Linked DNA regions of Rhinolophus ferrumequinum. The protein of the gene in region 2 binds, or shares a complex with, the protein of the main gene of each other region. Links are inferred from orthologs where the notes say so. Each region holds a gene or a part of one and is shown on either strand. Other genes may lie near its edges. The genes, in order: RARRES2 and CMKLR1.

Region 1 (15,366 bases), on a different chromosome or scaffold from region 2:
GGTCAGAGCAGCGTGGCTTCACCTCACCGTCCTGCCCAACAAGGCCGGCAGGTTCTCCCGGGTGTATCCAGCTGGTCCACTTTTCCTCCCGAGCGCTCAGTTACTAAGAAGGTACCACACCTCCTAGTACTTCCGAAACACCGAGCTGAAGGAATTCATAATAAAAGACAGGGACATTAAGGCGTTAACACCAGTGGAGAAGGGTCTTCCTGTCCACTGGCGGCTCCTCCAGCCAGAGGGCTCTAAGGGGTGGGTGGAGCTGCTATTGCTACTTTTTCAGGGCGCAGGACAGTGAGGCAGGAACCTTAGCAAAACCACCAGCTGGAGGCGGGGGTCCCTGTGCTCTGCAAGTGGCTCTCTCTCCTGGCCTGGAGGTGGGGGTGACCTCCCGCTCGACCAGGGCCCAGGTCACTCCTCACCCCTCACCCACACCAGCAGCAACACAGACCCCCACGGCCCACTGCAGCCCTCGCTCGTGTGAATGACGCCCAGGCCCTCAGCCGCCACAGTCCCTGCCGTCTTAGACGTCATGCTTCTTCTGATGGGCCAGGAGCTTCTCCTCGTCGTCAAAGGTCTGGCCACAGATGGCACAGCAGAAGGCGCCGTCGCGGATGTGGCTCTTGCGGTGGGTGATGAGGTTGGACTTCTGGCTGAAGCTCCGGTCACAGTCGGGGCATGCGTAGGGGCGCTCGCCCGTGTGGATGCGCCGATGGGACACCAAGTTGGACTTCTGGCTGAAGGCTTTGCCACAGTCGGGGCAGACGTAGGGCTTCTCACCGGTGTGGATACGCCGGTGGGCTGCCAGGTAGGGCTTGTGGCGGAAAGCCTTGCCACAGTCCGGGCAGACGAAGGGCCGCTCGGGCGCATGGTCACGCCGGTGGGCCGCCAGGTGGCTGCCTTGGGAGAAGCGGCGCCCGCACTCCTCGCAGGCAAAAGGCCGCTCCCCTGAGTGGACCCGGGAGTGGGCCACCAGGTGGGTCTTCTTGCCAAAGTTCTTCCCACACTCAGAGCAGGTAAAGGGCCGCTCCCCTGTGTGCTGCCGCTGGTGGGCCCGCAGGAAGCGCTCCAGCCGGAAGCTCCTGCCACAGTCATCGCAGCTGTAGAGAGATGGGGGGGCTTCCACCTGGTCCCGGGGGGCCTCTCCTGGGGCCTCCAGCAGAGGCTCCAGGCCAGGCTCCTGGGCAGGTCTCAGTGCAGCCTCTGGGGTGGGCTCTGCTGAGGGCTCCAGGGGTCCGACTGGAATCTGGGGGCTCCCCAAGCCAGGGGCGCCCTGGGCAGACCCTTCAGATCGCTTGTGGATCTTGCTGTGAGACAGCAGGTTGGGTTTGTGGCGGAAGCGGCGTCCGCACTCGGTGCATGGGTAGGGCTTCTCCCCAGTATGGATGCGCCGGTGCGAGGTCAGGTAGGGCTTATTGGTGAAGCGCTTCCCGCACTCAGGGCACTGGTGCGGCCGCTCACCCGTGTGCACGCGGCGGTGGGCGATTAGGTTGGGTTTGTGCCGGAAGCGCTTGCCACAGCAGGCACACTGGAAGGGCCGGTCAACGGCATCTCCACCCGGCCGGGGGGCTGTCACTGCCGGGCGGCCCCTGGGCCGAGGCCCAAGAGCCTTGGCTGCTGCCTCCTCCAGGGCCTCCGCTACGTGAACCCGCTTGTGAGTAACTAGCTGGTCCCACTGGGCAAAGCTCCGGCCACAGTTGCCACATATGAAGGGCCGGGCCTCAGGGGCAGGGGGATGGCACTGCCGCAAATGGACTCGAAGCTGCTTTTGTCGCCAGAAGCGTCTCTCACATTCGGGGCAGGCAATGGGCCGTTTTGCAGCCGAGTGGGCCCGCAGGTGCAGCACCAGAGCCACCCAGCCTCGGAAGCTCTGCCCGCAGAGGTGGCAGGCAAAGCCCAGGTCTGGGGTGGCAGCGGCATGGACCTGGCAATGCAGTGCCAAGAAGGGGGCGTGTCGGAAGCGGCGACCACATTCAGGGCAGGGCAGGGGCAGCCGGGCCTGGCAGCGTCGGGCATGAAGCCACAGGGCCACCCAGCCCGGGAAGTGCCTTCGACAGTGGGCACAGCGATGGACCCGACCTGGAGCTTGGCTGCCCGACTGGGCCACGGAAGTGCCTTGTAACCTCAGCCTGTGGGGCTCCTTCTCCAGGGTCTGGGGTGACACCTGGGAGGGCCCAGAAAGGAGTTGGGGCTGGATTGGGCCCGTGGCCAGGGGGCCCCGGCAGCGACGTTCCAGCATCGGTTCTTCCTCTGCTGCGGGCGGAAAAGCAGAGTCACTCTAGAGAGCCTCTCACCCTGCCCCCAGGTCCTCCCCAGCCACCCCACGCCAGAGAGGAGCTCGCCCCTTTGGACTCCTAGAGCCCTGAATCTATACGACTCCTCTATTTCCTTGTAGGTTCTATGTTATTTCAATCCTGGGTTTCTAGACATGCATTTCAAGTATATTTGAAGTCATCTTTATTGATCCTGGAAACTACCAGAAGGGAGAAACTCTGACACTTCTTGGAATCCCCCTCACGGCAGCCATGTGTCTGGCATGGAGTAAACACTTCCAGTCGGCTTCACACACATTCCTGCCTCTCCAGAAAACGTTATCGCCTCCCCCTACAGTGCTTCATGCTTTTTCCAAGTACTGCCCTGCTGCCCTCTCCTTGCTCTATTTCCTGTTGCCACATCTGAGTTTCATGGCAACTGTGAGGCTGGATGAGCAAATATTCAACTCCCTGTTTGATAGATGAAGGAACCGTGAGGCATAAAAGGTAACAGGATCTGCCTGAGGGGACACAGTAAACCAACAGCAGAACCGACACTGAGGGGACAGGTTCTTCTAAAGTCCCAGGACCGTGTTCTTTCCTCTTAAACACCTGGATTGGTAAAGATCCCACAGAAAGAAAATTCTAGAGCCTTTCATTCCTATTATCCTCGCCTGGGCTCTAATCACACCCTGAAGAGGCACTTTCGGCCTCCCCGACTTCAGTCTCTCAGGGTAGAAACCTGGAGAATGAGTGAGAACAACCCTTCTGGGAACAGGGTGCTACGCCCAGCACCGCACAACGCCAGGCCACCGCCTGTCCAGACTGTGCCCACCTTCTGCCTGCCTAAACCCCCTCCACCCACACACGCGGAAGGAAAGCTCTCCCGAATCCAAGGAACACCCACAGCCTGTTGCCCTCAGGGGCCCGGAGCCCTGGCACTGCCTCCCTCGGGGTTGTACGGATTACTGGGGCAACAGAAGGAGAGGAAAGAAAAGACTGTAATCTCTGTCCCCTGTCTAGTCCTGCCCCAACCCTGCCAGGGGCTGTCCCACATTCAGCAACTCTGAGGTGCCAGGGAGCCCAGATTCCTGCAGGAGAACCTCCTACGCCCACTGAGGGGTGGGGTGGCAGTTAGACTCCCAAGGGCCCCTTCACTGCCTGCTCACACGCCAGACACATCCTCAATTCCCTAGAGTCTGTGCTCCTCTAAGGAGCACAGACATGACTCATTCCCAACGGCCAGACAGAGCCCAGGAAAGGCTCTAGGAATATGAGAAGGGATCCTTTCCCCACAGGCCCTTCCTTCCCCACGATGGGGAAGCCTGAGCCCTGGGGCTGTGGAATGGAAAGGGGACTCAACAAATAAGGCCAGACTCTACCCTGGAGACTGTGGAGCTGGAGACGAGGCTTTTTCCAGCTCCTGCTGGGGATGCTCCTGGGGATACTTCTGCGGCTGCAGCGCCTGCTTCCTCCCACACTCTGGCAGCCCCCAGATGTCAGAGAAAACTGCAGCAGTAAAGATACCCCTACCCCCATGGCAGAGCTCAGGCCTCCGACTGCAGAGAGGCCAGCCTTACCTGTGGGGAGGGGAGAGAAAACACGCGTGAGGCTCTGAGCTCCTCCGGGGCGGTCATCTTTGTGTCCTCGCCAGCCACCACCCCCTCCCCCACCCAAGTCCCACACCCGGCTGGCAGAGTGACCTTAATGGATATTGGATTAATAAATGCATGTGTCCCCTTCAAGGAAGTACACAGCTGCATATGGGGGTCACTTTCTCCACGGGTAAGGTCACCGCACGAATTCTCCATGCTGACGGCCAAAGGCTGGCCTAGGCCAGCAACTCTGGAATCCCTGCTGACTCCCCTCCCCCCACCCTCCTCGCCACAGGAATTCCAGGCCGGTTTCCCAGGGGGCTGCGCAGGCGAGCTCGTGTAATCAAGACTCGGTCAGAAGCCCCTCGCGCGCCCCGATGGCAAAGGGCCGTGGACACCCCACACCCTCCTTTTGTATTCGCGCGTGTGCCTCCGTTCCCGTTCGCGGACACACGGCTCAGCGCTCCCCGCGTGGGCCCTTTCGGGTCCCCGCGCAGAGCGCACCTCGCGGAGCCTGTGCGCAGGTGCGCGGGCTCGCCTCCCAATTCGGTCAGCATGTCCCCCACACTCAGCGCGCACACGGTCACGCGCCCGGCAGGTAGGGCCGCCCCGCCGGGGCCCGCGTGGGAACCCCGCGCCCTTCCCGGGACGAACCTCTCCAGAGGGGTGCGCGGAGGCGCGTCGCGCGTCCATGAGGCCAGAAAGCCGGCGCCGGCGGCCACGCTCCCCACCCCGCCGCGGCGACAGCAGCAGGTTCGAGTTCACCACTGCCAGGCCCGTGCCCAGCCCCCCCGCCGGTTCCCAGCGCCACGTGACTACAGGAGCTGCCGAGGGTCAGTCGCGGGCTCGGGCCGGCGGCCGCGGCCGGAGGGCGGGGCGGGCCACGCGGGGCAGCCGGGACGGCCGAGCCGGGTCCCTTGCCGCCCCCAGCGCCCCCTCGCGGGCCAGGCCGGGGGAGGCCGGGGAGGGCCCGACTCCGTTGCCCTGGCGACTACAGCCTGGCTTTTCCGGGACAGGCGGGCTCAAGTTTCCCGACCCTTTGTCCCTACGGAGGACTGGCGTCCCTGGGCGACCGCGTGGCCACACTGGTCACTAGGTTAGCTGCAGCCTCACTGGCTTCCTAACGGTTCCAAGCTCGCTCAAGCCTTCCGACAGGGCGCTCCGGCTCCTGGCCCGCGCCCTCCACTCTCCGGCCACCTTGACCTTGGGCCGCGCTGCGGAACCTCAGTGCCGTGGGGTCTGAGCGGTGCTGGCATCCACCCACCCGCGGCGACGCGCCAGATCCGAGCGTCTGGCTTCTGGTTTGTTCAGAAGTGGAGATAGAAAACGCCAGATCGCGTCAACTTGGAAAAGGGAATGCCCTCTATTCCAGAAATAGGCAAAGAGCCGGCGTCCGTGACCGCCGGCCGCGGGGCCGTTCTCGCTTGGGGGCATTTCGCTGGGAAACGCGCGGCAGCCGGTTGGCCAGTGCGGATGCAGGTGCGAGTCTGCGCCCGCCCGTGACTCACCCACTAGCAGGTGGCCTTGGCTTTCCAAACGAAACGAAACACTTCCTGGGTTTTCCAGGCTAGCACAATTTCATGTACTTGTGTGCTTTTCAACAAAGACTATCTTTTAATTGTACAAGTATTTTTAAAGCACTGTTAAATTCTATTCCATAAATAGGAAATAGAATATAAAAATCTTTCATACTTTTACCTCCTAGAGTAAAATACATTTAATATTTTGGTATATGTCCTCCGATGTTTTTTCTATAGTTCTTTCTCTAAGTATACTTGACATAACTGGGATAATACCTTGCAAAGATGTAGTCTAGTCTTTTCACGTAACACTATTGTGAATTTCCCCTATTCTATTAGATATTCTTTTCATAACATGATTCTTAATGGCAGAACAAATGTACAAATACTTGTTCAAATTTTTGGTTTTCCTATGTCATTATAGATTCATTTTTAACATCTCCAGAAATCCTCTATGAAGACCCTCAGGTATTGTTTAGAAGCAGCCCTTTATCTACAAGAAGGAAAACTTACCCACCTCATGCTGTTAGACTGTTCCAGACCTCGCTCATACATCCAACAAATATTTAATCAGTGCCCGCCATCTGCGTCTGTGCCAGGTGCGGGCTTGATCACGAGCCAGGCAGAAATGGCCCATACTGGTTTTCCACAATGATTCTTAACCCTCGTTTAGCAATGGAAATATCTCTTGGGTTAGTATTTAACATGAAATAAAATCAAATGCTTGATGACAATTTCTGAATGGATGGCTGTTGAAAAAGTGGCGGAGACAAGGGGGCAGAGAAGAGCAGAACATTTCATTCTAACAGAACTGACTTGTTAAGTAAGATTGTTAACTCCTGCTGCAGGAGCAGACAGCATCCTGAAGGCAGATATGGAAACTCTCACCGAGCTCCTTCCAGGTGTTTGGTCGTGTGGGAAAGAGGCAGAAAGCACATACCACGCTGACCTTGATGGAGGCCCCATCTGCCGGGAGGGCCTCAAACCTGCACAATCACCCAACATGCTCACACAGCCCTCCATCCCATGTTCCCTTCCGGCATCAGAACTGGGAGAGAAAGCAGCCAAGGCCCAAACTGAGCAAGCCCCTGACTGACCAGGGCTAGCAGCTTGGTTGAGAGCAGTCTTGCTAGGTCACGTGGAAACTCTCCAGGAACAGATCAGAGTGCTCCTACTTACAGAGTGCTAAAAATATCCTTAAAGGCGTGGACACATGCAGAACCCCTGGCAAGGGCGAACACTGTAAGAGAAGCCTTAGACGGGGATCCAAGGTCATCCCCCAAACTGCTGCACCGCTTTTCTACTGCATAGCTAACTCCAGGAGTCTGTTTTTCTAAAAGGAAAAAGAACTTAGTCAAAAGGAAACCAGGTAGAGATCTCAGATTTCCTGCTGCGGGTGCCAGGGCGTGGGTGCACCAAGGCTGTGAAGCCATGCTCACCACTTCTCACCTCTCAGCGTGGCCATCGCTCCCTCCTGGCTCCCTGCATAGCTGCCGCGGAGTCCAGTCTCTTATACCAGACTAACCCTTTTAAATAAGGTGGCTCACTTCACATTTTGCAGACGTGGCAAACCACTGTCACAGCCTCTATGGTTCCATCTGGACTGACCGTGCCTGCCTCTCTAGCTCCCTGGCATCCAGGGTCCTGCTGGACACGCTGCCCCAGCCACAATAGCTCATTCCCACCCTAGGGCCTTTGGAGTTGCTGTTCTGTCTGCCTAGGATCCGAAGGTCAGATATCCAAAAGCGGTTTCACTGGGTCAAAATCAAGATGTCAGCAGAGCCATGTTCCCTCCAGAGGCTCGAAGGGAGAATCTGTGTCCATGCCTTTTCCAGCTTCTAGAGTTGCATTCCATGTAGGACTCGGGGCCACTTCCTCCATTTTCAGAACCAGCAGCGTATCATGTTGCTTCAGTGGTCACATTGCCTCCTGTCTCTGCTATGGTCAAATCTCCCGCTGCCAGGTATTCAGTTAGTGTTTGTGGACCAAATGAATGAGGAAATGTAAGAGGCTGACCCACTGGCTAAGCAAATTTAATTGGACCAGAATGAGCTGCCTAAGCAGCAGCCACAAGCCACACGTTCACCAGTAAACTGCAAACTCTCTTCCCTTGGCTGCTGCTTGTGAAGCAGGTGTTGGGAGTCTGGAAGGACTTTTAATGAGAGAAAATGCCACGTTTTCTTACAGAAAAATTCGAGTCAGTATGTGAGCGAGGTAAAGAACAAAGAACTTGGAAGAAAACCTCAGTCTGTAACTCTACCACTTGAAGGACTCTGGTTGTAGGTAGCAGGTACCTGAACCATATACTTTTATCTGAAACATTATTCCAGAATAGCTGGAATGCCAGAACCTCTAGGGAACCTCTGAGGGGGACTGACGTGGCCAGAGTCAGACCCTTTGTGGGAGGAGAGCCCTCCACTTCCTGGCAACGGCATTTACCACCGTTTGGTGATTTGGTCCTAGGACTAGACATTACCAGGAAACACTGCAACCAGTCATCTTGGTGTCTCAGCCTGGAAAGAGAGTTCTTGACTTTCCCTAGAAATCGGCACTTCTACCCTTTCAAGGTCAAATCTCATCTCTTATTACAATGCTATGTTTTTTTTCCTACTCCAGATTATATCTTCTTCAACTTAAAAGATGGATTTAGAAGCCAATGTGTATCAAGTGTTGGTTTAAAATCTACTAAAAGCCAAGTTTGATTGGAAAACACAAGGAAATTCGAAACAGAATCTCTGCTAAGTCTTTGCAATTTAGCAGAACCAGGTGTATTTTCAAGTGTTTTGTTTCCTGTGAGAGGCGTGTGCTGTTGTTTATGAAAACCATCTGTACGTGTTCACCACCCACAAAAAGGCTACATCTAACCTTGGCTCATTCCTACCCAGATTCCCCTCGACTAAAATGAGGAATCAGAGTGCAAACCAGGTTTTAGGTCGGTGCTTTCTGTCCGGCTCCAAGACCAAATCTAGGTCACAGGTAAAGCTGGTGCCTTCAGAATTGGCCAATGAAGTCTCACTGTTCCCAGAGCTGGTTTGCCTTCCCTGTCTTAAAACGTTCGAAGTGAGTTTCCTTCTAACAGGATTTAAGGTTTATTTTGTGGATGTTATTATAAATTACAGTAATATCGCATTTTTAACTACTTTATAGTAACAGTCTATTAAACTAATACATTCAGCAAATAATATATTCAATAAAATTAATTGTAAAAAGAACACTTGGAAAGTACTTCATTTCCCAGCATCTAAACTGCCCTCGGTGTTTAGAGGGGAGGCTGAGATGCTGCTCGTTGTCCGTGCATGTCTGTGAAGGTTTACAGTCTAACAAACATGCGTCTCGTATATAAAGTCATGGCGACTAAGTGGCATGATGATTGGGTCTGATGGAGCCAAAAGAAGTTCTTAGGGTTAAACCCAGAATCAAAAAGTGAAAGGGAGAGACACTTCTTTCCCATTGGTGGGTACGGGATAGTTAATAATTAACATTTATAGCACAGAGAGCAACCAGCAGTATTCAGGGAACAAGGTAACAATGAGAGGTTCTGTGGTCTCCAGCTCTGGTGCAGTGGGTGTGCCCTCGAGGGTCTGGAAAAGGAGATGACTCTGACATTCCAAGGGTATGTTATCTTCGGTGCAAAAAGACAATAGACAGGCTCAGGCTCATTTAACCTAAAGACTGACCTTTGTCAAGGAAGCGACAGGCCTAGGACGTGACTACCCACCATGATCTGCTTTTAGTTAGTTTTTACGTTCAGACCATCCTATGTGGTTACTTTCGGTCTCTGAGTTTGTAGGGCCCACCATGCTGGCCTCACCTGAGCTTGTCAGGCTTAGTATGTGGCCCCTTTTTCATCCACATGGGCCACCAGTCATTTTCCATATACTTACTTATTTCATCTTTACAACAACCCCTTGGGTAGGGTTTCTGATCCCACTGTGCAGAGAAAGAAGCAGGGGTTTCTGGGCTTTGGAAGTTCAATGAGACCCTCTACTTCCTGTCATTGACACAGGGAGGCAGAGACAGGGTCGCCCTGGTTACTGACATGCAAATTCCAGGAGCCGGTTCCTATTTGCTCAGGATGAGCTGGAGTTGAAACAATATTTGGACAGTTTTCTCTGACTCCCCATTGGCCCTAAGAATTCTACCCCACCGTTCTGCCATGCCTGAGGGCTCCCAACACCCCCACATGAAACCCTGAAGTCCATTGCCATCGAGGATCAAGACTGGACATCGATAGAGGTTGCGGGATGTCAGAGTCGGCTCAGCAAATGACTCTTTCCTTCTCAGTGTGGCTTCAGGGTGCTGGATGCAGGGGAGGGATCGAATGACTCCTTGAGGGGTCTTCTGGTTTGAGGATGGCTGTATTTCTGGGAACAATTTCCTGAAATGAGTGTTTCCTGACGCTGGGGACTGGTCACCCAGGAAGGTCCTAAGAAAAGGGCAGCCCTACCTGGAGGCAGGGTGGGGGGCAGGGCAGTCCCGTATTCCGGGAGAAGAGTCCAGGCCGGGCGCTTGGGCTCCTGGGCCCGGGGAAGGTGAGCGGAGGGCAGCCTTGTTTCACGTCTTCTGGGGCCACCTAGCCCTGGCGGGGTGAGGCGCCAGCATGCCAGCCTGGGTAAGGGTCAGGCGGCAGGACGGAGGAGGGGCTGCGGAAGGTGGGATGGAGAGGGAAGGCTCCGGTGAGCGTGCTGCCAGGGAGGCCGGTCCTCACAGGGTGGGGCGGAGCCTTGGGCTGGAGCGGGGCCCAGGAGGTGGGCGTGGGAAGACATGGGGCCAACCCGCTGCAGGGAGGGCGGTGCCGGGGCAGGGGGACCAGAAAGACGCTGCTTGCTTCGCCAAGTTGCCGGGGAAAGTTAGGAGAGACCCCTGGACACAGGAGAGGAGGTGAGTAGGGTAGAGCGGGCTGTGTGGCAGCTGGACAGGAGAAGAGGGGCAGGCAGAGGGAACCGCTCCAAGGGCGAGACTTGTCAACTTGTCCGTGAGCCCTTGCTGTAAGGCAACAACCTGGTATCGTGTCACTGAGGGGCCTCAGTTTCCACATCTGTGGCTCCCTGGTCCTAACACCACTGGTACAGGCGGAGTTCTCGGGGAGGGTCCACCCCTCGGGCGACCCCAGTGATGGACTGGGGAACGAGATCAGAAGGGCTGGGAGAGGGGTGGTGTGGAAGGCCCAGAAAAAAAGGCAAGGGAAGGAGGGTCTGCCTGGAAAAGAAAACCATGGGTGGGACTCAGACAAGACCCCCTTTCTGGGTCAGGGGTAGGGCCCATGGCAACTGGCAGTCCCAGCACCGGGAGGGTTAAGCATCCTCCTGGGTTCCCACCCGGCTCTGGCCCCTCCCATGTGTTTGCGTCCTTCCAAAAATATTCAGCCTCCAACAAGCCTCCTTTCTATGCCCCAGTCCACCCCGCCATCAAGTAATCCAGTGGGGAGGGGAGATGAGGGCCAGAGGCTGGGAACTGGAAGCCAGCAGACCCAGGGTGGAAGGGGAGGCGGCTGGTGAGGCTGAGGTAGGGAAAGCAGAGAGGGGCTCTAGGGGCAGAGGGGCAGTGGGGAGACAGAATGGGCCGGAAAAGGGGTGGGGGTGGAGGGAGTGGGCACCAGGATTGCTTCCCTGGCTGTTGGCCAAGGACAAAAGCTGACTCAGCACCCACCCAGGACAGGGCCAAAGCTGGGCTGAGTTGGACCCGGGGAACAGTGGGAGGCAGGGTAGGGAGGAGTGAAGGACAGGGGAATACCAGGGTAATCTCAGCAAAGGGCCACTTCCTGTCTCTCTATCTCTGCCCAAGCTCTGCTGGGCACGGCCCCCAAGTGCAGGGCTGGGGTTTGACGGCTCCACTGGCTGCCAGGAAGAGCTGAGGCTCATACACACCGTTTGCAGGACCAGGGTGACTGAGGTGAAGCCATGTGGAGGCCACTACTCCTGCTGGCCCTGTGGCTGGGCACAGTGGGCGTGGGTAGGGCTCAGCTCACAGCCACCCAGCACCAGGGCCTGCAGGTGGCCCTGGAGGAATTCCACAAGCACCCACGTGTGCAGTGGGCCTTCCAGAAGACCAGTATGGACAGCGCCACGGACACGGTTAGCGGCACGGCCCATGGAGGGTGGGGGGCCCGCACCCCACGATGCTAGCACATTCCCGGGAAGCACGTGCAGAAGCACCCAGCTCTCTGGAGAAGGGCCACCAGCCCAGCCACCCACTCGAATGTGCTGTCCACTGTCGGGAGGAGAGGTGGGTCACATCCAGGAATTGTTCTGTACACTCAGCTGGCTGCTGGCCTTCCTCTGTCTGTCTGTCGGTAGTCCTTCCCGGCGGGGACATTTGTGAGGCTGGAATTCAAGCTCCAGCAGACGAACTGCGGGAAGAAGGACTGGAAGAAAGCGGAGTGCAAAGTCAAGTCCAACGGGGTGAGCGTACGTGTGTGATGAAGCACTTGCTCCGGTGCAAGTGTATGTAACTGAGGTTTGGTTGGAGATCTCACAAGAAGCCCTGGGGTTGGAGACCCCACTGTGGAGCCCGTGGTCGGGACAGTCTGGGAGGTCTGGGCCTGGACAGCCAGGGGTGGGAGGGAGGGCTGGACAACTGCCATCCGCATTCCTCTCCCAAGCTTCCCAGTCATGGGGAGAAGTCCAAGGTGTGGGGGTGGTCTGGCCCCCAGGCCTGGTGAATTCTCTTTTCTGTGGGTCTCCAAGTGGAGGTGGCCCAGCCTGGGCTGATCCGTAACAGGTTGTAACTGTAACCATTCAGCTTGGGGGCAAGACCTGCTTTGGGGGGAGATGTCTGGGCTGGGAGTGCAACCATCCGGGTTCTAGACCCAGCTCTGCTGAGCACCGGCCAGCTCTGTGGCTTTGTAGGTTCTCTGACGGCCACAGTTCCCACCATCTGTTAAAGGAGGGGCTGGATTATACCAGTGGGTTTCCAGATTTTCGTGCCAGAAGCCTTGTGTTCAAAATAAATCTTACAAGAAAATACAAATAAATAATGACAGCGGAACAGGTCTGGTGGAAGTCAGGTGGGGAAAACCTGCCTGCGGATTCCTGCGCGCGCGCGCGCGCGCGCACACACACACACACACACACACACACACTAAAGTTCCAAAGATGTGAGAACTGCAGGATAGTTTGACTTGTGAAATTTTCCAGTCCGAGGGTGGGCTATACCTGACACCAGATGGCCTGCACGACCCTCGCCCTCCACCTTAGGGCCTGCAGGGGAAGGACCCCTATTGCAGGCAGCCCCTAGCCTCCACCCTCATGGAGCCACAGGCCTGCCCTCACCCCTTTCCTCTCCTGGCCCCATGCCCTCCCCTCCTCCCAGAGGAAGCGGAAGTGCCTGGCCTGCATCAAGCTGGACTCGGAGTCTAAAGTCCTGGGCCGGATGGTCCACTGCCCGATAGAGGCGCAGGTTCAACGGGTAAGAGTGGGCAGAGGAGCAGAGAGTCTGGGGAGCTGGCTGGTATGATGGATAGAAGCTGGGCCTGTGGAACAAGTGAGAAAGCTGAAGCCTGGACAGAGGAGTGGGGAGGGCCAAGGAGGGGTGAGGAGGGGTGGGAAGGCTGAGGAGAGGGGAGGAGAGGTGAAGAGGGTAAGAAGTGGGTGAGGAGGGCCTCTGGCCTGGCCCAGATATGCCCTAAGGGCTGTGGAGGGGGCACAGCAGAGGCACAGGATGAGCCAGACATCGCTGGGCACTGCCCCTGGGCACTGCCCCTGGGCCTGAGCCGGTGCTGGTGCTGGCAGGAGCCCAAGGAGCCCCAGGAGGCCCAGTGCAGCAAGATACAGCGGATTGGTGAGGACCCCCAAAGCTACTACTTCCCAGGACAATTTGCCTTCATAAAGGCGAATGCCTGACCGGTAGGTGGCCAGGGAGGTGGGAGAACAGTGGAGTGGGGACAGCCCTGGGTGGGGTTTGGGGTGCTGGGCTGTGGGAGGCGCGAGGGGAGGGGCTCAGGACCAGCACCAAAACAGCCTCTCACACCCAAATCTTGGTGTTTTTTCCCTCTAGAATTCCACCTGGCTTTCTGGACAGCTGGGGGTGGTAACCAGTGAAACACCCCTCCCTGTGCCCCGAGGACGACCCCATTATCCCCAAGCTAATAAAACTGCTCTTGAGCTGTGTTCTTTCCTCCGTTTGCATCACATCCTCTCCTCCCCTCAGCTCAGCTGGTGGGAGGCTGAGGGAGTGAGGAAAGGCCGGGAAACTCTTGCAGGAGGAAGCAAAGCCCCAGGGGGAGCAGGGCACTTCCTCTTGGACACCCAGAAAACAGGCAGGGGGCCTCGTGTGTGCACCTCCTTTCCGCAGGAGAGACCAGAGCTTGCAGGAACTCATGCCCATGTGAAATGACAGGCAGTGCTGCAAATTAAAACAGATATTTAATAGGGATTAGCGTGGGTAACAATGGGCGTTGAAGGCTCCAGGGGGCCACGGCGGAGGGTCGCCTGGACAAGCACATGTGGCAGGTGGGTGAGGGCAGCTCCCATGCTCTGTGCTCTGGGAGGACCCCTGGAGAGGGGGCACAGCATCCCTGCCTTTGCCACCTTTGACCTTAGGAAGCAGTGGCTTCCTTCTTTCCACTAAGTTCAGGCCCGAGCAGCCAGGAGTGGCAGCAGCTGTGGACACGCCCTGCGGCCTCCTCCCTTGGGGCACAGACAGACAGCACGCGTAGCAGGACAGGTGCCAGCTGCTCGTGGAGGGCCCTTACACCTGTTAGAGGCCACTGGGGAGGTGCCTCCCTGAAGGATGTTGAAGGAAGGTGTGGAATTTTCCTTGAGGGAGGAGTGGGAGGGTGGGGGCTGCTCTTAGGAACAGAGATAAGCAAATGGCAGTCTGCTGGCCAGTGACCAGCGTGATGAAACGCTCTATTCCGGTGCAGATCTGGGGGTGGGGTGGGAATGTGGCCACACCTTCCGATGCGCCAACCCCACGGCCTGGGTCAGGCTGGCCCACGCCACGGAGCACATTCAAAAGACAAACGACGAGGTGGTGCCTGCAGAGCTGAGCGCCTGCTGGGCCTGCTCCAGGCTGTCCTGGGCCTGGCGGTCCAGCTCGTGGCACTCCTGCAGTGTGTCCTGGAACTGCCGGCAGGCCTCCTGCAGGATGGAACTGCTCCGCGTGGGCCAGGCCTCCCAGTACCCTGGCTCCACCCAGGGCTGCGCCTCGGCCATGCTGGGGCCGGGGCTGGAGCTGGGCCACAGGGGGCTGTCCAGGTCCCGACACAGCTGGTAGAACTCACTGCCGCGGCCGGCCACACGCTCCCCATCGATGACCTTCAGGCCGGGCAGCAGCTCTCGGACCACGGCCCCGTAGGAGGGGCTGGCACAGAGCGGGTTGCTGAGCCGGGCCAAAGGGTCCCGGAGCCGCAGGTGCTCGAGGCCCCGCAGTCCGGCCAGACACTGCAGCTGGCCAGGGGTGGCCAGCAGGTTGCCCGCTGCATTGAGATTCTGCAGGTTCTCGCAGGCGGCCAGTGGCTCCAACCCTGTTAGCCGATTGTTGGCGACATTGAGCACGGCCAGCTGGCGCAAGGAGGCCAGTGGGCCCAGCTGGGTGAGCGCGTTGCCCGACAGGTCCAGCCACTCGAGGCCCAGGCACGCCCCCAGGCAGCCCAGGTCCACTAGCCCCAAGCCTCGCAGCTTCAGAAGCAGGATGGAGTCCAGGGCAAACTCGCCCGAGCGTGACTTGAGCAGCTGGGGCGTGACACGCACCCCATCAGCCTCTCCTGGCTTCTCAGCCTGCGGCTCCATCAGTGAAGTCGGTCTAGGTGGCCTGGGCCGTGACAGTCTGTCACTGGGACACGAGTACCACTGGGTGTCTGCTGGCCATTCACCCCAAAAAAGGCACCGTCAACTGGCTTGGGCCAGTGCCAGAGGCCTGTTTCCAACACCGCTGCTCAAGGGCCAGCAGGTCCCTAAGGAGAGACAATTAAACAGTAAGCAGCCTCTGCTGAGCACCCGTGACCCTGCAGCCTCTTCCACCAGGGCCAGAAACTCCGGTGGCCTGGCAAGACCTGAGGCC
Region 2 (14,961 bases):
TCTGAGATGCTCTTTTGAATCAAAGAGAAGTCCCCAGACAGACCTGGCCCTGTCCAGAGCACCAGTGGAAGTGGGAAGTCATTCCTGCAGAACACCATGAATTAATCTCCTCTTAAAAATACTTTCATTGAGGCATAACTTGCTCTAGTAAGTGCATTCATCTTATACGTACAAACACCTGGGTTTCTACATGTGAAGACAGCAGCGGAACCACCATCTAGATAGTACAAAGGGCAACCCTCACCTGTATCCAGGACAATTTCAAAGGGTAAAGTTTGAGACCCAGACACAGCATGCCTCCCCTTCAGTCAGGATTCTACTGGAAACCCCCCAGTGCCTCCCAGGTCCTGACAAGTGCAGGTCTACCCCAAAGCCTTTGTCAACACTCTAAGAAGTGAAGAGGGGCCTTAGTGAATGGCCAGGTCTCTAGAATGGAGGTGCTTTCAAAGTCACTCCCATGAGCATTTCCACACATATCTTATCTCATAGCAGTCAGTCATTGAGGTAGGAGGTCTCAATCTTATTTGCTAAGAAGCCTCGGTTTCACTATCTGTAACTTGGGGATATGGGAAGGGATGAAGTCGAAATCAATGAAGTCGAGTCTCTTCTAAACTCAAAAATCCTAAGGTTCTCAGGGCTGCGAGGAAGTGACTAGGTCCTCCAGACACCACTTCCTCCCTCCAAAGGACAAAGCATCCCCCACCACCTCCTCAAATTCTGACCCTTGAAAGAGAGTATATGACATACTTGCCCTCCTCTTCCAGGGAAGAGGCTCCTCAGAGGAGTTTGTGTTTGCAAGTTACTTTAGAGTCTGTTTGACTCTAGTCTTCTCTTCTAGTCTGTTTGACTCTAAAGTAACTTGCAAACACAAACTCCTCTGAGTTTGAATCCCAGCTCTGTCACTTACTAGCTGTGTGACACTGGGCAAGTCCCTTCACCTCTCTGAACCCCCATTTCCTCCTCTGTACATGGAGATAGCAATGGCCCCTACCACAAATGTCGCTGTAAGGATTCAACGAGATCATGAAAGTAAAGTTCTTGGTGGCACCCAAACCTTGGATGTGCTCAATTCAGATGACCCACGATTAATGTTGTGTTGCTTTTGTTGAAGCTTTGAGCACAAGGTGAGTGATCTGTAGACCTGTGTTTCCTCCTCCCTCAGCACCGCTCTCCTCGCCCCCACCTGCCCATTGACCAGGTCTCTAGAGCAGTAGCAGGCTGACACACCTGGGGGTATCCCATCTCGCGGGGGGGGGGGGAGAGACTGCTGGAAGATCCCCCAGGACAGAACGCCGTGACCTCCAAGGTTATACCCCAAGTGCAAGCGCTGGGAGTCTTTGCATAAATTCCCCAGAGCCACCACCAGCAATTGCAGCATTAATATGCCTCCATTCCTTGTAGGTTAATATATGGATTATTTATAGGGCTTTATTGTGTGCCCAGAGGGCTCCCCTGAGCAATATAATTGTGCATTGGGAGGTAAATTTGAATAATATTTACAATTAATTTCCATCAATAAAGCAACGCACCAAGCCCTCTGTACAGCTGAAATGGTCCCTGGGTTGCTTTCCCACTAACCACTCCCCTGAGAAAGCGTGGGGAGCTTTTAAATCTCTCTCCAATAGTCCACGTCTCAGGCTGTACCTTTGTTCCCCAGGCCAAGCACCATCGCACTCATTTGGAGGCAGCAGCAGCCCCCACCCCGAGCTGCCCCTCCTGCCCCTCTCCACTTGTCATCCCCAGAATGGCCCAGGCATCGGGCATCACTTCAATACCAGGTCTGAGCACGGCACTAACCTGCACAGAGCTTCCCCTTCAATCTCAGGGGCCCACGGTCTGGCCCTGCCTCCCCTCCATCCTACATGGTCCATGCTCTGTCTACCTGCTCTGTGGTAGCCCCCATCCCCTTCCAGCCCCTCAAGTTCACTCTGCTCCTTCCCACATCAACACCGCTGCCCTGCCCATTCTGTTTCCTCCACCTGGAGCACCTCCTGCACCTCCCACGGAATCAGTGCTTCCCTGTCATTCACCTCTCCAGGGTCTCTTCCCCGAGAAAGTGTCCTTGACCTCTGGACAAGGTCAGAGCCCTCGACAGTGTGTGCATTGCACTTACTGTGCTTCTTTCCCCTTCAGAGTGTGGGGTTTTGTTCTGTGTTGTTCGTAAATGATTGGCCGTCTCTCCCACTCGCCAATAAATGAGCTGAGAAGGACAGAGATTGCACATGGCCCGAGCATCCCAGTAGTCCCAGTACCGACTACAGGGCCTGCCAAAGCGTAGGTATTTCATAGGTTTTTATGGAATGGTTCAATGGGTGGAGATAGGGAGAGAGAGGTGCTTGTGTTAATGGACGGGGAGGTGGATGGATGGACGTGTGAATAGATGAGTGGATGGATGAACAGGGGAAATGATGGGTGGACGAATGTGTAGATGGAAGCGTCTGTCCTTGGATGGCCTGACGTGGTGCCAAAGAGCACAGACTTGGCAGTAGGGCATCCTGGAGTTCAGTCTCCTATCTGCCATGGCTTCCTATGTTATCTTGGGTAAGTCACTACCTGTCATATATCCTTGGTTGCTAGGGAAACTAAACAAGTGGAGGGAAGTTTTTTTCAAGATGCATACTTCTTGAAGTCCAAGATTTAGGGAATGGTAAGTTGGGAATTTCAGGGTTTCTCCTACAGGCTCACCACAATAGCTGTGTGACTTTGGACAGGTCACTTGGCCTCTCTGAGCCTCGACTGCTATTCTGTGAGGTGGACAGGGAAGGCAAGGGGGAGTTTGTGGTAGGAAACTGCTGCGCTGAGCCCCACTCTTGCTTCAGTCTCTTCCTTCCAGAGAAACTTCGTCCTCAAAGGGAGGAAGCAAGCAAGCCCTCTATTGAGTTATTTCATGGCTTCTTGGTAGTTCTGAATACCACACCCAGCAGCAATTATCCAAATCTGGGGTTTGGCAACCACAGGCCCAGGGTACTCCGGCTTCAGCCAGAGCATAGCATGTTAGGGAGGAACGGGAGAGGGAGGCCAGTGGTAGGAGTTGGGAATGAATCACTGATGACTTCCATCCAAGCCGAGCACCACTTCCTTTAGCCGATTTCTCAAAGGGCACCTCCCAAAACCTCAGCTCCCTCATCTGTAAAATGGGAAAGGCCTGGGTGAGATGATTTAAAGGGCCCTCATAGCTCTCACTATGGGATTCTCTCTTCTCTCACCCATCCTGGCCCCGAAGCTCCTGCCCACCTTCCCTTTTGTCCCCCCCGCCCCTTCAATCCTTCTGTCTTTCTCTCCTTCCTCTCAAGGGCTGAAGAAGCTGGGAGCTCAGGCAGCAAACCTGGTTGAAAGGCCAGCTCCATCATTTACTAGCTGTGTGACCCTAAATAAGTGAGGTCCGCAATCCAATCCCCCCTTTCTGCATCCCCCACGTGCATCTGCTGGTCCTCTTCTCAGAACTATTCTGAGGGTTTCATGACATTTTGTGCCTACACATGGAAGAGGCTTAATAAATGTCAGATTCCTTTCCTTCATCGTCACTCTCCTTTTTTTTCGGGCTTCCCTCACCCTTCCCTCTCCCGACCTCAAACACCACCTTCTCTTCTAGCCCCTCTGCCTGTTTCCCAGCATCCCCTGGGACCACCCACCCCACCCACCCCACCCAGGGCGCAGCACTGTGGCCCTATGCTGAGTCCCAGCCACCAAGGGAGGGCTCTCGGGCACCACGTGAGCTTGTCTGTAGAGTAATGCAGGTGAACACACCTTGGGAACCACAGGGACGTGGTGTGTGACCGGTGGAGATGAACACACCTTGGGAACCACAGGGACGTGGTGTGTGACTGGTGGAGATGCTCAAAAGAAACGGTAGGGACGAGAGTGAAGGGGATGTCATGTTTGTATTTAAGCATTTGATGGGAACCTACAGTTAGAACAGGAAGACCCGTGGAGCGGCCAGAAAAAGGAGGTCTAACCCGAAGGAGGAAGACAGCTGGTTTGAATTTTGCTCCTGTTCATCAGCTTTTCCAACAACAAAATGATTTCCTGGCTCCCCCAGCCTGGCCGGTGTGCAGCCGGGAGACGTGAGGCGTGGAGCCCAGCGTCCTGGGGGGGTCAGAGGCCCGAGTGGCCGACGACTGTCTCTGGGACCTAGAACACGTCCCATGCTGCCTTGTACTTTAGTTACTTCACCTGTGAAGTTGGAGAAGGAGGTGCTGGGGGGTGGGGCCCTGGGTGATAGTTAAAGCCCCCCTTTTGTTCCCAAACTGTCCTAGTACAGATTGCTTAAAGCAATCGGAAGCCCCAGCTTGGGATCAATTCAGAATTGGCTCATCATAAACACAACAACCCAACCACGAAAGAACAGTTTGTCTCTTAACGAGGTGTGATTCCAAACAGCCCGTGGCCTCAGGAGCTTGCCCAGCGCCTATGGAGACATTACATCTGTTCACCGCATCTTGGAGAATTGGCTTCACGATGAAGCGGCTTGGAAGAGAACAGAATGCGGCCCCTCAGAGGCCAAAGGGCCTCTGGCCCACAAGGGCTACTTCCTGCCAGGCCTGTCTCTCCACTGCCTTCCCTGAGATCTCAGGGGTGCAGGAGCGGGTGGGCGTGTGTGGACGGGTGTCAAGGGAGCTGGAGGCCAACTGCATTTTCTTTGCCATTTTGGGTCATTTTTGAAAACTATTTGCAAAGCTGGCTTCAAGGCCACTCGGCTGTTTACATTAATCGTCTGAGGAATGTATTTTCATGGTCCAAAACCCAAGCCCTTCTCAGAACCGTAAGATTCCACAGCCTTATCTGAGCCAGACAGGCCTAGGTTCAAATCCAGGCTCTGGCAGAGACCAGCTGGGTGCCCTCTGGCAACTTACTTAACCTCTCTGAGCCTCTGTTACCTTATATGTGAAAGGGAAGTAATACGTAATTGTACCTAACTCGGGGCAGCTGTGAGGAATAAATGAGATACATGTAAAGTGCTTATCATAGGAAGTGCTAACTAAATGTAGGCTATCATTAGAGTCTAGAATATTCTCAATAGATACATTTTCCCTAGGGCCAGACAGAGCCTCTGACTAGCTGTGTGCCCTTGGGCCAGTTACTTGTCTCCTCTGAACCTCATCTTTGTCATTTGTAAATGGGGAAATAACACTCTGTAGCACCGGAAGCTGTCCTACGAGAGGAGAAAAAGCAACATGGCTGCATACAGGACGAGCTCTGTGCCCCTGGCACCCCATGGCCTGCCTCTCAGGAGCACAGTTCCAGGAGTCAGGCTCCAGACTCCGCTTTGAGTTCGGCGTCTGAGCCCTTGGACACGCTTATCAGCCCTCGAGGCGCTCCCAGGTTGCTTCCAGAAGCTGATTTTGAATGAGTCTCCAGCAAGTCTTTAGGAAGTTGAGGCGGAGGAGAAGCGCTCCTTACTCACCTCTTGTCCCAGAGTGTTTTACTCTGAGCAGCTTCAGTCAGAGCCAGGGAAGGGAAGGAGGGAGGAACCCCTGGGATGGGTGGGGGCTGCTGGTGAAGCTGGCCCCTCAACCCAGGCCCCTGGGAACAACTGCAAAGTGAGAACAGGGCTTGGGGAAAAGGACAGGCACCACCTCCACGCTCAAAATAGCTATATCCCAAAGCACCATCACGCTCAGGTCTAGGGTAAGCTGCTTCTTGCCACACCCTTTGAAGGGCCCCAATTCCTCACTGCACCCCACTTGTCTTGCCCTCACAAAGAGCCCACATGGCCCCTCAGGACCTGTTCCCCGTCTTCTCAACTGATCTGAAAAACAAATTCATCATCCTGGGAGTTCACGGGCTCATACGTCATCTTCCCCTCCCAGGTAACTGTGTATTTACATGTGCCTAACCCAGAGGAAGGGCTTGAGTGGCGGGATTTCTGGCTGGCTATTGCACAGGTATGTGGGGCGAGGTGTGATGTGCATCACACTGGGTTTGCTCCAACCGCCTCTGCTACACTCGGAACGGACCCCGTCAAGTGTTGGTGTCATTCCTGGGGAGCACACGGTAGAGCGCGTAATCTCACTTTTAATGCTGAGCGCAGCTCATGGCAGTGTTTTGAGAATTCTCCCTTTTTTTGCTTTGTGTCAGTCAAAGCTGGTCTCCCCAAAAGCAAGGGATGCTGGTCCAAAGCTATGAACCACACAGCACACCCTGTCCACCATGCCACTGGAAGAAAGGGGTCCTGAGCCCTGGATGCCCAGCTCCAAACATTGTTCAGCCCCGTACAAACTATGGTGGGCATTGGTGGGTACTGAAGCGGTCCCTGCCATAGTCTTGAGAAGGCAGAGCTTTGGACTCCAAGGTGGGGAGTGTCCATTAGGGTCTCCCAGGTGAGGATCAGAGCATGCTGGTCTCCCTCCCGTTCATCGAGGACCTCTCATTGAGCGACGACATCTTGGTAAAACTCCTGTGGCTGGGGTAGGGGGAGTGGCCCGTGTCCTCACTCAGAGCATTAACCAGGCGGGAGAAGAAGGCCACCTTGAACTTCTTGAAGTCCTGACCCATGAAGACATACAGAATGGGGTTCATGCAGCTGTTGGCAGTGGCGATGGCCGTGGCCAGGGGCAAACCCAAGCTGAAGACGGACCCAGGCATGGTGGAGTGGTGGAGTTCCAGGAGGTAGAGCGTGTGGTAGGGGCACCAGCAGAAAAAGAAGGTGACGATGATGGTCATGATGATCTTGAAGGGCTTCTTGGTCTTGGCCAGGCGGTTGCGTCGCAGCTTGCAGACGATGGTGAAATAGCAGGCTGTGATGATCAGGACCGGGATCAGGAAGCCACAGAGGAAACGGGTGACGGTCACCACCATGTGCCGGCCAAACGCCACCGAGTCCAGTCGGGAGGAAGAGGACGACGGGGAAGAGTTGGCCGCTGACAGGCTGAAGTTGTTGAAGCAGGATATCTTCCCGTGCAGATGCGCTGTGTCCCGGAACACGAGGGATGGGGAACTCAGGAAGAAAGCCAGGAGCCAGATGACCACGCAGGCCACGTAGGCCAGACGCACGTTGCGGTGGTTCTGGGACCAGACAGGGAGCAGCACCGAGATGCAGCGGTCGAAGCTGATGACGGTCAACAGGAAGACGCTGGTGTACAAGTTGTGCATGAGCAGGAAGCTGCTGATCTTGCACATGGCCGTCCCAAAAATCCAGTGGTAGTCCATGGCGGTGTAGGCAATATGGATCGGGAGGAAGAGGTTGAACAGGAAGTCTGCCACCGCCAGGTTGAGGAACCACACGGTGTTCACCGTCTTCTTCATCTTGAAGGTGGCCATGAAGATCACTAGGCCATTGCCCAGGATCCCGAGGAAGCAGATGATGCTGTAGACCACCACCAGGAAGATCCTGACCGCTCTGCTTTCGGGGGGCGAAAGCTCCTCCAAAACCATGATGGTGCTGACCTCGTCAGGGTAGTCATCGTAGGAGATGTTGTAATCCTCGTCCCCCATTCTCTGCAACGAGGAGACAGGGGTCATTAGAGGAACCTTGAACGCACGTGTTAAGCGTCAAGAGGATGATCAACACCAGCAAGACGGACATGGTTCTCCTCGGTTCTGAGCAAGGCCGGTTGGTGGTTTAACTACTTCCTGTTTCGCTGTTTTTACTTATTTAATGAACACCTCTCTGGCACCTCCTATGTACCAGGTGCTATTCTAAAGGTTTGATATATATAAACTCTCTTTGTCCTCCCAACAACTCAGTGAGGTAGGGAGGTTACGAACCCATTTTTCAGATGAGGAAACTGAGGCACAGAGAGCTTAAGTTACTTGCCCAAGGTCATACAGCTGGGAATCAAGCCCCAGGTTCAGAGTCTACCCTTTGGACAACCATGTTCTGCTGCTACTCTGGGACCCTCCCATTCCCCTTACAGTCTGGTGGGGGAGACAGTCATTAAAAAGTTCCTTAATCATGGACAAATCTCAACGCTGCTAAGTGCAATGAAGAAGACGAGCACAGCGCCACGAGCTTGGTTCCAGCCATGTTTCCCAATCCCAGGGGACAGTTATGCTGGCATTCTCTGGGGCTCTCACCTTGTCAGTGGTCCCCCGCTGGTGCCTTTTGGAAATAGTTCAGACCACAAGAGTCCCTCCCCGTTCACTGTTATGGTGTCCGAAGCTCTCCAGCGTGGGTTCTCAGGCAATCAGTCCCTGTGCACAGCTGGAAACACCTGCAGGGAAGAACAAGGAGGCAGCAGTTGGATCCTGGTCTAAGGGCCAGAGCGCTGGGTGGACCAGGGGCCACAGAGAATCTATTGTCATTACTTCCAGTTTACAGAAAAAGCAGCAGAGGGCAGGAGAGGTTGAGTGACATACCTAAGGTCACTCGGCTCGGAGTGGTGGAGCCCCTTACACCCTGATCAACTGCTGGACCCTTGATCCCAAACCCCATGTCCCCACCATGGCACACCCATAAATGACAGCCTGAGTCAGGGGTGGTTACAGGGGAGAGTATGGATGGATCGAAGCAAACAGTGCTAGGGCCAGACCCAGAAAACACCATTCCAGGCCATGTTGGGCACCCAGAAGACAGAAGAGGAGCTACCCAGAGCACCCACTATGTGCCAAGAACTGTAACGCCTTTTTCATCTCATTTCGTCTTCCCGGGGGCTCTTCCAGGCCATGTTATTAGTCCTTTTTTGAAGCTGTGGAAACTGAGAGAGAAGCATCATTCTCACTGGGCATTCATTCTCTGGGCCCAGCGTGTCCCGTGAATTAGACACAGACCCTGCTGTCACAGCAGTCTGGTGAGGAGACAGACACGAATACATTCACTGAATGCCTCCTGAGAACGTAACGGGTCCTTCCCAATTGGGAAAAACAGTTGGGTATTTTCCCAATTGATGGGAGAACAAACTGAAACGCTGGGGAGTTTGCAAGCTTGGGAGGTCTGGGAGGCAGTGGTCGTATGCAGGGTTCACGCCCAACCTTGGCCAATCACCAGCCGTGCAGCTTTGAACACGTGATTTCTGCCCCTCTGAAACTCAAGTTTTCTCGTCAGTAAAATGGGAACAGCCACTTCACAGAGTGGAGGTAAGAACCACGGGCATCAGGAACATGGAGCATTTGGCTTAGTGCTGGCACATAGTAAACCTTCAGTAAACGTTAGTGATTACATTACGGCCGAGAGGTAACAGCTGCCAGCCGAGCTGGAATTTGAACCCAGGGCTCTGACACCCCAGAGTCCATGCATATACCACCACCCACGCTCTCCCCATCTTGACAAATGGGCTCCAAACCAGACTGCCAATCAATGCTTCTTGATCAGTTTTTCCACACTTCCTCCGTCTAAATTCATTGCTCGTCCTTAATGGGTTTGCGTTTAATATTTTGTTGCATAAAAGTCATCTTTTGCTTTTATTAAGTAAGAGCCACTTGGGAAATTCCTTTGAGAACTCTGGGCTCCAAGGACTCAGAATTTGAGCTCGGATGTCGTTCCACTCTGCTGGGAGGATATTCCAGAGGTGACCAATGAGGGGTCCCCAGAGCTTCATGGGACACTGGAATTTGGAGAGAAGTCAGGGACACTGCAGCTAGCCCCTCTTAATTGGGGAAATGTGACTGGGTTCATGATAATGATGAATGCCAGGGACTCTGCTGAGCCTGTAATACAGGTGGCCCCACTTTAGCCCATGAGTGGCACCCACAAGGCCGAAGACCCTTGCCCCAGGCATCCAGGCGGGAGGTGGCAGAGCTGGGATTTGAACCAGGTCTGCAGAACCTGGGCTCTTACCACCACCATGGTGCCCTGAAATCATGATCTGATGCCAGCCACTGAGTATATCCTTGAGGAAGGGATGACCGTGTCCCCATCCCCTGTGCCGGACCATGCAGGCCCCAGGAAATGCAGGACAAGGAAATGGCTTTCCTGCAGCCATCACATCCACGTTCCAGCCAGGAAGAAGGGAAAAGACGAAGGAAGGGGACTCCACAAAGCTCAGTTAGTAGCAAGGCACAAGGCAGAGGAAGTGCTGCGGTGGGAGCCAGGTCAGGAAGTCCGAGCCTTCCCGGGGCAGGCGGATTCCCACTAGAGTCCCATGATGCTCAAGTTTTAACCTACTAGCTGAGTTTTCCAGGACAACTATGAGTTAAGAAGGTGGAAGGAGGGCATTCTAGGCCATCTCCCTATGCCCCCCACAACGCCCCTTTGATGGCGGTATGGGGGTGTCTGAGCCTCAGGAGAAGGGCGGAAAGGGGTGGGGACTCAGGCCCAGCACTTTGCACCACAGCGTCTGCAGAAATGTGCCAAGGACACAGATAACGTCATGTCTGGTTCTCCTGCTGTGCAGGAAGCAGCTTGGGGTCAGAGGCCACATCTTTTCATCTTTGAATGGGGGCCAGACTGGGCGCTCACAGGGTGGCGCTGACATCCTCTGGGCATTTCTACCCGGTCACCTCTCACCCCTCATCCTGAGAGCTGAGTGAGTCAGTATCCCCAGTTAGTATGTGTCTTCACCCCACCAAGCCCCTCAGCTCTCCCTGGAGGGGGGCCTCAATCACAGGTTTGCATTCAGCCTCCACTCCGTCCCCACACACATTCCTCTTGTCCTGAGCCTGTTTCTGCCCCCAGAGCAGGAAGTACTGGACTGGTTGGTCAAGGACACAGATTCTGTGACCCAGCCAGGCTGCCAGCATCCAAATCCTCCTTCTGCATGAACTTCCTATGTCCTTGAGCAAGTGAGTTACCTTCTCTGTACCTCTGTAGGGGAAGAAACAGCACTTTTTCCCCTGAGAAACTGGGCTGCTTCCTCATTCTCAATAACCCAAACTCTACAACTGATCACATTTTCCTTTTTTGATGTGGCCCCAAGGAAGCTCAGAGTCACATTTTCAGGTCAAAGGCAGCAACCCCATGAGCCCTGCTGGTCTGCAGGTTTCTGCATTGGTTTTGGTTAGCCTTTATGTCTACATCTAATTATACTTTATATTGGTTTTAGTTCCTCTTGATAATGACTGATGGGTGCACACAAAGCCCAAACAGGACACCAAACGCTTTAATTACATTAGTTCGCACATCCCCACTAACGCCCAGGAGTGGTACTTCTGTTAGTCCCAATGTAAAGGTGGAAAAGTGAGGCTAATGTCACACAGTCAGCTAGTGGCCAATGCACACCCAGGTTGCTCTGACTCCAAGCCCTGCTCTTCCCCACCTTGCTTTCCATGTCTATTCATACCCTGCCTGACCCCTCAGGGTCCCCAGCTCCACCCTCCAGGAACACTCCTCATTGATTTCCTTTGCTTAGTCCCCTCAAGGAATCTCTTTCCCCCAGTTTTCAGGACAATCTGGCTGAGGTCTGAGGCACACATGGGGGTCATTGCCAAAGATGACATTGTCCATCACAGCCCAGGCAGGCATGCGAGCCTGTGGCCAGCCTGTCCCCCTTCCTGCCCTCAGTTCCTCAGGGAGCCCAGGGGGCAGATGAGCTGTCCTGGATCGGCTCCCAGATTCTTCCTGTGACCTTGAACTCACACCCCATTTGGAACCAGGGCCTAGAGCTGGTCTGCTCTGAAGCTCCTTCGACAGACTCCTGAGGCCAGTCCTGGCTGTTCTTTCCTTGGGGCAGTTCCCATAGGTCTCCAGGAGAAAATGTCAGGGAGGAGGTGGTAGAGAAGGCAGGAGACCTGCTGTGACATCTGGGCAAGTAGCTTCTACTCTCTGAACCTCGGTAGTGTAATCTGCAAAATGGGTATAACAGTACATGCCCTGCCTACTTTTCAGGGCAGCTGGGAGGATGAGCTAAGGCAATAAATGAGCTTTTGGAGTTGGGGCTGGGAGGTAGATGGTTTCTAGATCCTCTCTGCCCAGTTCAATAACAAGAAGTTGCAAAAATAGTATTGAGAAGTCCTATGTACCTATCACCCCCATAACAGTGTCTTCATAACTCTGGCACATTACCTGGAATATTGTTTGATGAATGAATGAATGAATGAATGAATGAATGAATGAATGAATGAACAAACAAATGTTTGAAAGAACAAATGGATGGATGAATTCATGCTTTTTCTAGTTCACCAGGTTGATCTGGAAATTAGAAATAATAACAATGACAGTGATGATATCATGGAAAAAACAAAGCCCAATAAAACAAAGGGATTTTAAGGGCCCAGAATATGGCCTCACACCCACCAGTGTTGGACTCTTGGCTCCACAACCTACAAACTGTGTAACCTTGGCATCTTTGTGTCCCCCCCAAAAATTCATGTGCTGAAGCCTAACCTCCAATGTGATGGTGTTAGGAGGCGGGGCCTTTGAGAGGTGATGAGGTCATGGGGGTGGCGCCTCAGGAGTGGGATCAGTGCCCGCATAAAAGGGACTCCAGACAGCTCTCGTCTCTTCCACCCTGTGAGGACACAGTCTAGGAACCAGGAAGCAGGTTCTCACCAGACACCAAATCTGCCAGCACCTTGATCTCGGACATCTCAGCCTCCAGAACTGTGAGAAGTAAATGTTTGCTGTTAAGCCACCCCGTCTATGGTATTCTGCTCCAGCAGCCAGAACAGACTAAGGCCTCTTGCTTAGCCATCTCAAAACTCAGTTTCAATACAAGGGGCTAATGAATGGGGCTAATCCGAGGACCAAGCTCCCGGGTCTCTTGTGAGGCTTGAATAAAGGGTGTTGGTTAAATGCTTGGGCGCTGACTGCCTGGCACATGGAAAGCTCACCGTTGATAATTAAGCCCTTCCTGTGTGCTGGACAACAGGCCACTTATTTCACACACGGGTCTCACCCAGTCCTCATGACAGCCCTCCAGGGTTAAGAAATGATTATACCCATTTTCAGATGGGAACACCAAGGCACAGGAAGGTAAAGTAAGTTCTGTGAAGCGTTTTGCAACACTGTGGAGCTTACAGCCACTATTGTTTTTGTTTTTGTCGTCGTCGTTGGTAGTGGTGGCTCTGTCTATGAGTGTCCACCAGAGTTTTCTATTAGCACCCGGTTCTGACCCCTCTTGCCTCCTTCATCTCCACTCTGTCCAGTTCCCCAGGGCTCTCTCTGTGATGCTGACCATGTCCTACCCGCCCCCCAGGCCACCGCCCCCATCCCCCCACAGAAGGCCTGCTAGATAACAGACACTCGCTCTTCCCCAGCCCCCTGCTTAGATCTGGCATACAGCAAGTGCTTAATAAGTACGTGTATTACTATTACTGGCATTGTAATTTATTGGGCACTTACTATGTGGCAGGTGCCGAGTCCATTAGAAATGTGGTCACAGACTGTCCCCAAACAGCCCTGCAAGAGGGGGTAGTATCCTTCTCTCCACGGCTTTGGAAACCCAGAGCTTGCTGCCTGCTGTATCAGTCAGCTCGGGCGGCTCGAACCCAGTGCCACAGACTGGGCGACATAAACAACAGACCTTTTTTCTCACAGTTCTGGAGACTGGAAGTCCGAGATCAAGGAGTCGGAAGGGAGGCCTTTTCTCCTAAGGCCTCCCTCCTTGGCTGGTGGATGGCCACCTTCTCCCTATGTCCTCACCTGGTCGTCCCTCCGTGTGTGTCTGTGTCCTAATCTCTTCTCATGAGGACACCAGTCGGATTGGATTCGGACCCACCCTAGTGACGTCATTTTACCCTAATCACTTCTTTATAGGCGGTATCTCCAAATATAGTCACATTCTGAAATACTGGAGGTTAGGATGTCAACATATGAATTTGCGGGCGGGGGTCGGGTGGGGGAGGCACACACAATTCAACCCGTAACAGCTATGTCATTGTCATTGTTGTTATAAGTTAACGTTCCTATCTGGAGCACCTCCACGTCACTGACTGTGCGTGGGGGTTTCAACCTCCAGCTCTCTGCCCCAAGGCCCCACCATGCTGGGGACCAGGCCCTGTCCTTCCAGTGGGCTCCACACACACACACACACACACACACACACAGCCGTGCCTTCAGCATAAGTTTACAAGCTCTAAGCCTGACAAGGAATTGCTATCTAGGATGTACAAGTAACTCTTTCCTGCAAATCCAAAAAGAGAGCAACCCCTGCAGAAAAACGAGCAGATGCTATGAACAGGTAATTTATAGGAGGGAAACCCCCAAATCCAGGCATATGACAAATTGATCCTCAAAGACATGCAAATGAGAACCACAACCTGGGCTGGCCCAGTGGCTCAGGCGGTTGGAGCTCCTCCGTGCTCCTAACGCCGAATGCTGCCGGTTCGATTCCCACATGGGCCAGTGGGCTCTCAACCACAAGGTTGCCGGTTGGACTCCCGCAAGGGATGGTGGGCTGCGCCCCCTGCAACTAGCAACGGCAACTGGACCTGGAGCTGAGCTGTGCCCTCCACATAAGATTGAAAGGACAACAACTTGACTTGGAAAAAGTCCTGGAAGTACACACTGTTCCCCCAATAAAGTCCTGTTCCCCTCTTCCCCCGCCCTAATAAAATCTTAAAAAAAAAAAAAAAAAAAAAAAAGAACCACAACCAGATAATACTTTGTGCCTGTCAGACTGTGGCAAGGACTAGGAAGCTAGGAAGCTGGCATGGATTCCCCTGGGGTTGGGGAGGTGAGGCACAGGCTCGCATGCCGTCTGCGGGGACCCGGGAACCCCTCCCAGTCCCCCGAGGGCCTATGGAGAAGAATGCCCGTGAGCTGTGTCTGCACCGGTACGCCTTAGCTCCCGTCCTCCAGAAGCAAGCCTCACATGAGGATTCCTGCAAAAGTGTTCCAGGAAAAATCGGTAAGGTAGTGGAAAAGTAAGATTGGGAAGGGGAGGGGCTAGGCCAGGGCACAGAGGGTGGCCTTAGCCCAGGCTGGTGACTCAGGAAACAATGGAGTTCACCCTCCAGGAGGCTGAGTATTTATACCACCCCCACCCCCATCCTGGGGGTGTGCTTTCCTCCCACCATGAGGCTGTCAGAAGAGCCCTCGGGGAGACTGTGTGCTCAAAATGGTCAAGAATCTAGGGGACTCAGGCAGCTCGTCTGCCTATGGTTGGAAGAGAGGGGATGGGTGAACGCTGGGCAGCTGGTAGAAGC

The links.
Region 1: the proteins of CMKLR1 (region 2) and RARRES2 are in contact, whole or in part, in a cryo-EM structure (PDB 8ZJG), measured with the Homo sapiens proteins. The link is inferred for Rhinolophus ferrumequinum from reciprocal best matches to the Homo sapiens genes CMKLR1 and RARRES2. Residues at the interface, in NP_001135815.1 of Homo sapiens: Asp20, Tyr21, Leu22, Asp23, Ser24, Ile25, Val26, Val27, Leu28, Phe88, Leu92, His95, Tyr103, His104, Asn116, Leu119, Ile120, Met123, Arg178, Leu183, His184, Gly185, Lys186, Ser188, Cys189, Phe190, Asn191, Trp203, Thr205, His217; in NP_002880.1 of Homo sapiens: Leu34, Phe37, His38, Phe60, Thr75, Ser76, Cys77, Arg96, Leu111, Gly112, Arg113, Leu114, Val115, His116, Cys117, Pro118, Ile119, Thr133, Leu136, Arg137, Gln139, Arg140, His146, Ser147, Phe148, Tyr149, Phe150, Pro151, Gly152, Gln153.

The regions. Positions count from the first base shown.
Region 1 is NC_046309.1:4,160,570-4,175,935, forward strand, and holds RARRES2 (retinoic acid receptor responder protein 2), read left to right. Parts: upstream 1-8,874; 5' UTR 8,875-8,977; intron 8,978-10,103; exon of another isoform or gene 10,104-10,245; intron 10,246-10,739; exon of another isoform or gene 10,740-10,869; intron 10,870-11,240; 5' UTR 11,241-11,264; coding exon 11,265-11,438; intron 11,439-11,660; coding exon 11,661-11,765; intron 11,766-12,675; coding exon 12,676-12,771; intron 12,772-13,094; coding exon 13,095-13,205; 3' UTR 13,206-13,208; intron 13,209-13,359; 3' UTR 13,360-13,472; downstream 13,473-15,366. Other genes in the region: REPIN1 (replication initiator 1), read right to left, coding at 521-2,250, 3,632-3,788; LRRC61 (leucine-rich repeat-containing protein 61), read right to left, coding at 14,316-15,095. UniProt on the Homo sapiens protein: Adipocyte-secreted protein (adipokine) that regulates adipogenesis, metabolism and inflammation through activation of the chemokine-like receptor 1 (CMKLR1). Also acts as a ligand for CMKLR2.
Region 2 is NC_046308.1:14,935,397-14,950,357, reverse strand, and holds CMKLR1 (chemerin-like receptor 1), read right to left. Parts: upstream 8,155-14,961; 5' UTR 8,017-8,154; intron 7,438-8,016; 5' UTR 7,435-7,437; coding exon 6,328-7,434; 3' UTR 3,863-6,327; downstream 1-3,862. UniProt on the Homo sapiens protein: Receptor for the chemoattractant adipokine chemerin/RARRES2 and for the omega-3 fatty acid derived molecule resolvin E1.